Ovis aries: one gene and its partner. The protein of the gene in region 1 binds, or shares a complex with, the protein of each later gene. Links are inferred from orthologs where the notes say so. Each region holds a gene or a part of one and is shown in the gene's direction. Other genes may lie near its edges. The genes, in order: SIRT5 and PRDX1.

What was found.
Region 2: the proteins of SIRT5 (region 1) and PRDX1 are in contact, whole or in part, in a crystal structure (PDB 8Z54), measured with the Homo sapiens proteins. The link is inferred for Ovis aries from reciprocal best matches to the Homo sapiens genes SIRT5 and PRDX1. Residues at the interface, in NP_001363727.1 of Homo sapiens: Ala86, Tyr102, Arg105, Gln140, Ile142, His158, Val220, Val221, Trp222, Phe223, Gly224, Glu225, Asn226, Leu227, Leu232, Val253, Val254, Tyr255, Pro256; in NP_001189360.1 of Homo sapiens: Phe195, Ser196, Lys197, Gln198.

Annotation. Positions count from the first base shown.
Region 1 is NC_056073.1:42,249,905-42,254,485, reverse strand, and holds the start of SIRT5 (NAD-dependent protein deacylase sirtuin-5, mitochondrial), read left to right. Parts: upstream 1-1,590; 5' UTR 1,591-1,640; exon of another isoform or gene 1,641-1,720; intron 1,721-1,799; exon of another isoform or gene 1,800-1,831; intron 1,832-1,946; exon of another isoform or gene 1,947-2,164; intron 2,165-2,187; exon of another isoform or gene 2,188-2,685; intron 2,686-4,581. UniProt on the Homo sapiens protein: NAD-dependent lysine demalonylase, desuccinylase and deglutarylase that specifically removes malonyl, succinyl and glutaryl groups on target proteins.
Region 2 is NC_056054.1:20,143,007-20,147,367, reverse strand, and holds the start of PRDX1 (peroxiredoxin-1), read left to right. Parts: upstream 1-1,429; 5' UTR 1,430-1,723; coding exon 1,724-1,841; intron 1,842-3,124; coding exon 3,125-3,241; intron 3,242-4,361. UniProt on the Homo sapiens protein: Thiol-specific peroxidase that catalyzes the reduction of hydrogen peroxide and organic hydroperoxides to water and alcohols, respectively.

The DNA of each region.
Region 1 (4,581 bases):
CTTCCATCCTGCAGTCTACAGGTGGACAGGGTTCTGAACAAAGGCACTTTAGTTTACAGTCAGATAGAGGGGCAGGATTCCCTGAGGCAGGCCATTATGTATAATTACAATTACAAAAGCAACGAAAAGCAAATCAAAGAAACAGTCTCAGCATGGAGTAAGAAGTAACTTTTCCCTGCAACATTACTACTGAGGGAATGAAAAACGAATATTCCAGAAAGAGGGACCAGCCTTTGGTTTGGAAGGACAAGACCATCAAGAAATGAAGCTCGAGTTGCTCTAAGGATGGAAAGGATAGCGGTTGATGTTTCAAAAAGACAAAGTAGCCTGATATCGGCAGAAGAGTCAGCTTTTCTAAGCCTGGAAGAAGGTATGTGGTTAAGGGATATATAGCGGGTAGCTGTGGGTTGTGACTCCTGGGCCTTGATAGAATGTGATGTCCCAGAAGGGATCCAACCTGTGGCTGGTGCCATGGAAGTTTGCAGTGACCGGCACAGGGCCTCCCCCACAGTGTGCCCTCCCTCCCCCCAGTGTCTGAATGAAGACAAGGATTGACACCTGATGACTAACATCAAAACCACAAAAAGCAGCTCAACATGTTAACGAGAGGCAGTACAGGCAGTGGCGCAGACCCCTGTGGCTGGAGCCAAAGCATTTAGGCTCAAACCCCAGCTCTGCTATTCAACAGCCTATCTTGAGTAGTTACTTGACCGCCTTGTGCCTCAGTTTCCCTATCTGTAAAGTGGGAATAACTGTATATCTTTTATCGGATGGGGAAGATTTTAACTGGTTAAGACACGTGAAGTTCTTAGCGGTGTCTGGTACAAAGTGCCATATATATGTTACAGAAAAAGTAGCAGTCAGACATAAGACCCTTCTCCAATTTTCTCGGACCCCGTAGGGCCCCCGGAGACTGATATAACCTGCGGGAGCAAGAGGGGTTCCAAAGCGGGCGGGACTTCCAGCCAAACTGAGGGGGGCGGTTGAGGTCAGAGTTGGAAAAACAAATGCTAATATCACATTACTGGCCAGTCTAGAAACAATTCTATTCTCGGAAAATTAGTTCTGGCTGTGAGACTGAATCAAAGACAAAGAAAGATGACTGCTTTTAAGGGCGATCAGACGAGGGGAGTCACGGAGATCACAGAGTACTCGAGACCTGGAAACTGGTCCCTTCCGAGGCAGGGTAAGGATCTCAGCACCAGCGCTCGTCATTGGTAGGCAGGCCTGGGAACCCCTCTAACCTTCATTGGAAATAGCGTTTCGGGGAAAGCCACCCCAATATTTCACATGCTCTGTGGCTAAGTAGTGCGGTCCAGCTAGCTGCAGGCTCAAAGAAAAAAGCAGTTCATCCGTCTTTCACGACACGTCTAGGAAGCTCACAAAGACGAGGCAACAGACCGTCCCTTCCCCCGCCGGGACCTCCTCCCCCCGCCCCTCCCCAAGAAAGAAATGCAAAGAAACAATCTTGTGCGACGAGCAGGCCCAGGGACGGGCCTCCAGGGCTCGGGAGCCGGATCAGCTGTGGGCCTCCGGCAGGGGCCGCTGCAGCCCCGGGCAGGTGGCTCGAGCCGCTCCGCCCCCAGGCTCGTTGTCCAGCCCCCGCGCCCGGGATCCGCCGCGGTCCCCGCCTCCTACAGGTGCGTGGGCGCCGGGGCCGGGCCGTGATCTCCGCCGCCTCCCTGGACTCCGAGGGTCGTGATCGAGCACAGGGGGCCGGGTGGGCGCCGTGGAGGGGGGCTCCCGGGGAGGGCGCGGGGTTGTGAGGGGAGGCCCACCGGGGCGCGCATGCGCGGATCAATTGCCTCGGCCGGTTCCGGGGTCCGCGAGGGTGGGTGGGAGGCGAAGGGGCACAGGGGAAGTGGGGTAGGGGAGAGAGTGGAGGTGGGGTGGGGAACGGGGAGGGCGAGGGGGGGAGGGGAGGGCGAGGGGGGGAGGGGAGGGCGAGGGGGGAGGGGAGGGTGAGGAAGGGAAGGGGGCGCGGACCCCGTTTCTTCGGGTGGATCCAGCTGGCAGTCCCCCACACCGCCGGCAGACACGCGTGCGGAGGCCGAAGATCGGGGGTCTTCCCGGCACGGCGCGGGGTGCTAGCTGCGGCCGGAGAGGCGAGGGAGGGGACCAGAAACGAGGTTGGAAAGTCAGGTGCCCGGGGCGGGTGGGCCTGGTAGGTCGCCGTGAAGGACGGGTGGCCCGGGGGACTCGGGGCAGGGTGTCCCCGTTGAGTAGAGGCCCTCCGGGCCCTGCTGCAGGCCGAGTGGCACTTGGGGCGGCCTGGACCGGGTGGTGGGCGTGGGAGGCGCGGCCGGGTTGGGACACAGTTGTAAAGCTGCAGTTGCTGGGGGTATATCAGGTTGTGTGAGTGTGAGACGTGAGCCAAAGGGAGAAGTGAGCCAAAGGGGGCCAAGGAGGATGGCTACCTAAGGCTTTTGGGGGAACGTTCAAGAGTTGAGGCTTGACTGTGAGCTGGGAGCCTTGTGTTGGACATCCGAGGCGGGGTGCACTGGTGAAGCCCGGGGAGGGTGAGCGATCCAGCCAGGTAGGAGGAAAACCAGGAGCAGCAAGAGGTTCCCCAAGAGGTGATCAAAGGGGTCAGAGGCTGGACCTGATCCAGGTGGACCGCTGGGTTTAGCAAGGTGGAGCGGGCTGGTGACTAGATAAGAGCCAGCGGTGAACTGGGGAGAGGAAGTGAGTCTCCCAGTGTTGATAGCTGGGGCCTGGTACTTCACATTTGTTTGACTCATAGGTGTTCAAAAAGTATTTATTGAACACCCTTGGGAGTTTTTGTAGTTCCCTCTCGATGTACTTTAATGTTTTGTAAATGCTTTTTCTCTCGAATTCCTCATATAACCTTACATTTGTTGTATTATTGTATTTTTAAGAATTGGGGTGCCCCCTTTCTCAACAGGGAACATAGAGACATTTTTCTGATTTTCTAACTGGGTAGGTGAGTTCCAGGTTTCCCAAAAAAGCCTGGTTAAGTGCGGATTGCCATTCACCGAGACTAATGTCAGTGTTTGAGAACCTATCCTGCACTCAGAAAGCTCCCAATGACTGGGATGAATGAGTTTATTTTCTTCCCTGAGGCCTTGCCACCTGAAAGTCAAATCAGGGCCAGATAATTGGAGGCTTTACCCAGGGCAGTTTTCACCCTGAGGGCTTTTGGACCAGACAAACTGATGTCTTCCTCCTCTGACTCAGCACAGTGGGGGCCTTCTTACCCTCCCGATATTTGCTTTGGCGTTTGAATTGGGTTGAGTTTGTGGCAGCTAGAACTACTGTCCATTCTGATCCCCCAGAAAAGCACATAAATATTGACACAGAGGATTCTTCTGATGAATACTTTGCAGTAGCATCTTGAAAATGTTTCTCAGGTGGCACAGTGGTAAAGAATCCGCCTGCCAATGCGGGAGACGCTGGCTGTATCCCTGGGTTGGGAAGATCGCCTGGAGAAGGAAATGGCAGCCTCTTGCAGTACTCTTGGCTGGAGAATTCCATGGACAGAGGAGCCCGGCTGGCTATAGTCCACGGGGTTGCAACTGAGCGACTAAACAGCAACAACAAAGCATATTGAAAATAGACTTCTGTTCTGAGTATTTACAAATCGTGGAGATAAATTTCAGGTGGCACTGTTCTAAAACAGTGTTTATTTAAAAAAATTTTTTTAAAGTTTTTTTTTTTTAAACCTTTACTTTGTTTTCACATTTATTGAGAGACTTGGAGAATATCTTGTAAATTAATGGAAAATTTAGCAAAACAGTTCCCACATTCATTAAAAAAAACTCATGTTTTTTTTGTCTTGTAAATGTTTTTTATTTAACATTACAGTTTCGACTTTTATCTAATTTCCAGTTGACGATCAGCAGCAGTCTGAAATACTCCAGCTTTTTAGTACCTTTTTAAGTTTTAACTATGAAACTAAAACTTACTGTTTTAGTTAAACTAAACTTGTAGTTTTTAACTACAAGGCTGAATAGTATTTCCCTGGATGAAATACATCCAGTGATGAACTATATCTGTTAATGGATGAACCACAGTTTTTATTTATCCATTCATAAGTTGATAGGCCTTTGACCTGCTATTATCTGATAGGCCTGTTGAACGTAACTAATTTCACAGGACACCAACATCAAACAAGGCTACACTGTAATCATGATGAATCAGGACAAAATAAGACTTCATAATTAGGTCTGACGTGAAGTTGCTCAGTCGTGTCCAACTCTTTGTGACCCCATGGACACCAGGCTCCTCCGTCCATGGGATTTTCTAGGCAAGAGTACTGGAGTGGGTTGCCATTTCCTTCTCCAGGGAACTTCCTGACCCAGGGATTGAACCCAGGTCTCCCACATTGTAGACAGACGCTTTCCGTCTAAATAAGAACTTTCTCTAAACCACGAAAATGATAAGACACCCTCCTATCCTGGCTAATAGGAGGGCCTGTTGCCTCTTGACCAATCCCAGCTCAAGCTTTACTTCACTCCCTCCTCTTTAGATCATGTTCCTTGAAATATCCAATAAAAGGAAACTTTTCCCAGACAACATCCAGTGTAGATCAGAGCCTCCTTCCATGACTCTCCCTGCTGC
Region 2 (4,361 bases), on another chromosome or scaffold:
GGGGGCTATGGGCAGAAAGGGGAACACAGTACTATGTGTTATGTTTTTTCCTCCCCCTGGGCCTGCCCTATGTAAACTTGGCTAGCCTGGAGTGCTGTTTGTTCCACCTGAGGTCCTCATTCCAGTCCTCAACCTTCCTTTGTTCTATTTTCGCGGGCTTTTCCCTTCCTTGCCTTTTAGCCACAGCCATTCTGGACTCCTGTTTCCTATTCTAACTACCTAACATATGTATTCAATACTCTTTATTTTATAGCCGATGCTATGTTGTGACTTGAGGGCGCAGAGATGGTTGTGACCAAGCAGGCTACTGTTTGAGCAGAAAGGATGGAATGAATTCTGAGGATCAGTGAAAGTCAGAAGAGTTTCACCAGAAGGTAATGCCTCAGCTGACACATTTTCTGCAGGCCAAATAGGAGAGAACAGGTTCTGCACGTTCGAACAAAAGCCTGAGGTTTCAAACAGTTACTCTCTGTCCTGGGAGTTACGACAGAGGAGCAAGATGAGTTACACTAAAAACAACAGCTAACACTTTCATGTGTGAGAATTGCTAAATAAGCTAGAGATGATCTCAACAAAGAATTCATAGTATTCCCATTCTACAGGCGAGAAAAGTTAAGGCTGATTGATTAAGACTCTTGCCTTAAGGCCACACATAAAATAACAAGAGTTTTAACCCAGGAAGACAGAGCCCCAGTTTCTATAAACCACAAATCAGAGCGGTGAATGAATGAGATCAAATTTCAGAAAGATTTCCTGCAGCCGCAGTGGAGTGAATGGGAAAGGAACTCATGCAGGGGAGCTGGAATGCAACAACCCTGTTATAAGGAAGAACAATAAGAGAGGCTGTCTAAATAATGAGGGTTACGGAGGATCAGTCCTTGGAGAAGGAAATGGCAACCCACTCCAGTATCCTTGCTGGAAAATCTCATGGACAGAGGAACCTGGTGGATTGCAGTCCATGGGGTCGCAAAGAGTCGGGCACGACTGAGCGACTAACACACACACACACACGGAGGATCAGTACTAGAGCAGAGGCTGCGGAAACAGGGGCGGAATATTTCAGAAATACTTGAAGAGATCGTTCTCCTCAGGGTTTGGTTAGACGTAGTCTTCCGTGAGCAGCAGCGAGTGCCCGTACCCTGGTTTGGGCCTTACGAACAAGGAGGAGGCGTTCGTGTTCTGAAAGGACTGAAAGAGCGCCTCAAACTCAGGCCTCAACCGTCGGCGGCGAGAGGGGGATTGGTACTCTAAGGGCGGGAGCCCGCCCCCAGCAAGGGAAAGCGCTGAGTCATCCTGGCAGGGCACGTCGGGTCCCGGCGGTGTGCTGGCCATATCCCCCTCCCCATTCCCCCCGCCTGCACCCCCGGCCCGCCCTGACTCTCGCGAGAGCCTTACAGGCTATAAAGGCAGCGCCCCGCGCACGCCTCGCGCGTCTTCTTCCTCGCTGGTATCGGTCCTCTTTCTCTGGAACTGGTGAGTATGAGGGCCGCGCCCCCGCCCCGCCCGTCACCTTTCCCGTCTTCTCCTCGGGGCCCGCTGAACTCAGCTGGGCTCCTCGGACAAAGAAGGCGGCCAGGCGAAGCGACCCTCGTGTGGGGCTCCTTTGGGTGCGGGGACGAGGTTGAAACCCGAGGCTAACGGCAGCTTGAGTCTCCCCTACCCCCAGCAATACAAGCAGAAAGCGCTGATTGGCTTGGCGTGGCGTCTGGGCGGGTTGGTGGTGATGGAGTCTCCTGACGCGCGGGTAAGGGAAACTTCTCGAGTGAATCTGCAAACTGATCAGGAACTGAGAGCTATCAGTCGATCGTGTAGTAGAAGGAGAGGTTGTTCCCGGTCTTCAGGTGTGGAAAGTTACTAAGATTCCGTTCTCCGTCTTTATTTTTCCACCTGCAGAATGGGGTTTGTAGTGATTCTAAATGTCCTCGGTGAAGACTGAGCACTCTTCTGGAGCTTTCTGAGACGCTAGGGTGGGGGTGATGATGGGAGTGGCAGGGAGGGTACAAGAAGTGGGTTTTGGCGGAGTGGCTTTCACCAGGGACCTTCAAGGGGCGATTTCCTGAAGGGGACACACCCGGTGGAACTCCAGCTTCCCCGCCTCCCGCTCTTGGTCGTGCTTTAGTGGACGTAGGGATCCCTTGGAAAAGGTTTGAATAAGGAGGACATGTATATTAGGGTCACCTCCTGTGTTTGGTTGGGTTTTTTGGTTTGCTGTTATAGGTGTTAAGCGGTTAAAAAAAAATTGTCACAGTCGATGTTCAGTCTTTCTTTTGGCTGTAGTATTATGAACCAAGAATTTTGGGACTTGAAAAGTTAGCTTCTTGGGATTATCAAACTGATGACTTACTGGGTTAAATCTTACCATGTTCTTGACCAGGGTGAATCCAGTGTTACGTTGCTTTTTGGCAATAAATTGACTCTTGTTCTAACCATTTTTCCAGGATCTTGGTCCCTCGGTAAACTCACTTTTGAAAGGACTTCTGGGCTTTAAACACAACACTTAGAATTTTGAAATTGAGAGATGCCATAATCTTGGACTTGGCCTCTTAAAAAATTGGATTGGCTTTAGGGTGTGTGTCTTGGGAAATCTACCCAGAGAAAGAACGTGTGCTTCCCACGTTCTGAAGGCAGATGGAGGTGCAGTCCAGGGAAAGGGCATCATGGCAGCTTCTGAGGCTTGGGTGCTTAGTGTTTATGGCATTGCACCTTTGGGCCCAGGTTTGAGAGTTTCCACCCTCTTCTCTTTGTACACCTGTATAATAAACGTACACAGGAAAATGCAGTTGTACTGATGATGGTTCAGGAACAGGAAGAGTTCAGTTTATAAAGAAATTCCCATTTTAAAATGAAAACAACATTGTAAATCAACTATATTCCAATAAAAATTTAAAGATCTTAAATGAACAGTCCCTCCCCTCAAAAATGAAAACAGAGGTGAGATTCAGAGATGTGTAATATTTTTGTTTGAAAAGTTGGAAAGCTCAGTTCATGCTTCTCACTGTTATAAAAGTTTATGTGTATATTCAAGACCAGTGGACAATTTCTACAGCTTAGTCTCTTAAATAGATGAAGGTTGTTATCTAGAAAAGTAAGACTTGTTTCTAATTCACTTTCTCATCTTTTCCAGCTGATAGCAATATGTCTTCAGGAAATGCCAAAATTGGGCACCGTGCCCCCCAGTTCAAAGCAACAGCTGTTATGCCAGATGGTCAGTTCAAGGATATCAGCCTAGCTGACTACAAAGGTAAGAGTAATTAAGTTCATTAATATGAAATTATAGTACAGTCTAGGGAGGGCTTGTTCACTCTATCTCTTGTCATGTTTGAGTGTAAAATGATTTTTACATCTCATTTGTCTTTAGGATAAGAGGCTGTTGCCTTCCTATTGAAGTGGTGATTATCATCAGTGAACATAGGGTAGATCTCCAAGTCCAAACTACTTCTGGAGAAGGCATGTGCCTACTTCATTATATCTGGACATAATATCTCAATTATCTTCCCAATATTGCTCCTCAGTTATTTAACTGGAGATACACTCATTATCTTGTTACAGTTTAAAGCCTTGGACAATTTAAAGTCTCAGAGCTCAAGTCTTTGGAGCTGTGAAACTGTTCAGTTTACAAAATGTGTGTCACGATTGAGGGTTTAGGCATGTTCCCTTGACATTTTACCCCCAGAGAAAAATTGATGTCACAATTGGAACAACTCTCCTTTCTGTTAAGTAGTTTCATGTAGAAACCAGGCAAATACTAATGAGGATCTTTTTACTTTACTGTCCTAGAATAGCAAGGTATTCTGGGACAGTTCAAAATACGGATTTCCTAGAATTTAAACTTAAGGACTCAGGCGTCAAGTATACCTTTCTTGGTGATACAGCAGTTCATAGAGTTAGCTTTTGGGTAAAACCTATGACTAGATTTCTTAACAAATTCCACATACTGGTTGGAATGAGAGCAGATAAGTGGGGCCCTGTGGAGGAAAGCTCCTCCTGGCAAACAAAGTAAGTAGTACCATAGGGAGGTGACCCTGGCCTAAGGGTAAAGGCATGAGGTTTAGGAAGAGTTGCTCTGTGCCCTCCTGGGCTTGACCTGCTGAAGCTTGTTAGCAAAACCCTGGGGGAAGGTTGAAGTGTGTCAGAAGGACCAGCATATTTTGATTTTGAAACATTGCTGGTATCTGGAAATGTGAATATTTGGAATTGTTGGTGAGAGACTGCTTGACAGGTTGAAGATCTACTTCAGTTGGTAATCAGAATGACTTTAATAAAATTCCAACTAGAAATCCTATTACCTTCCAGGAGAATTTTGGGACCTTTGTCTTAGAAATTTTTTCTTTGCTTGTGCATCCTATCAGACTTATTTGAAC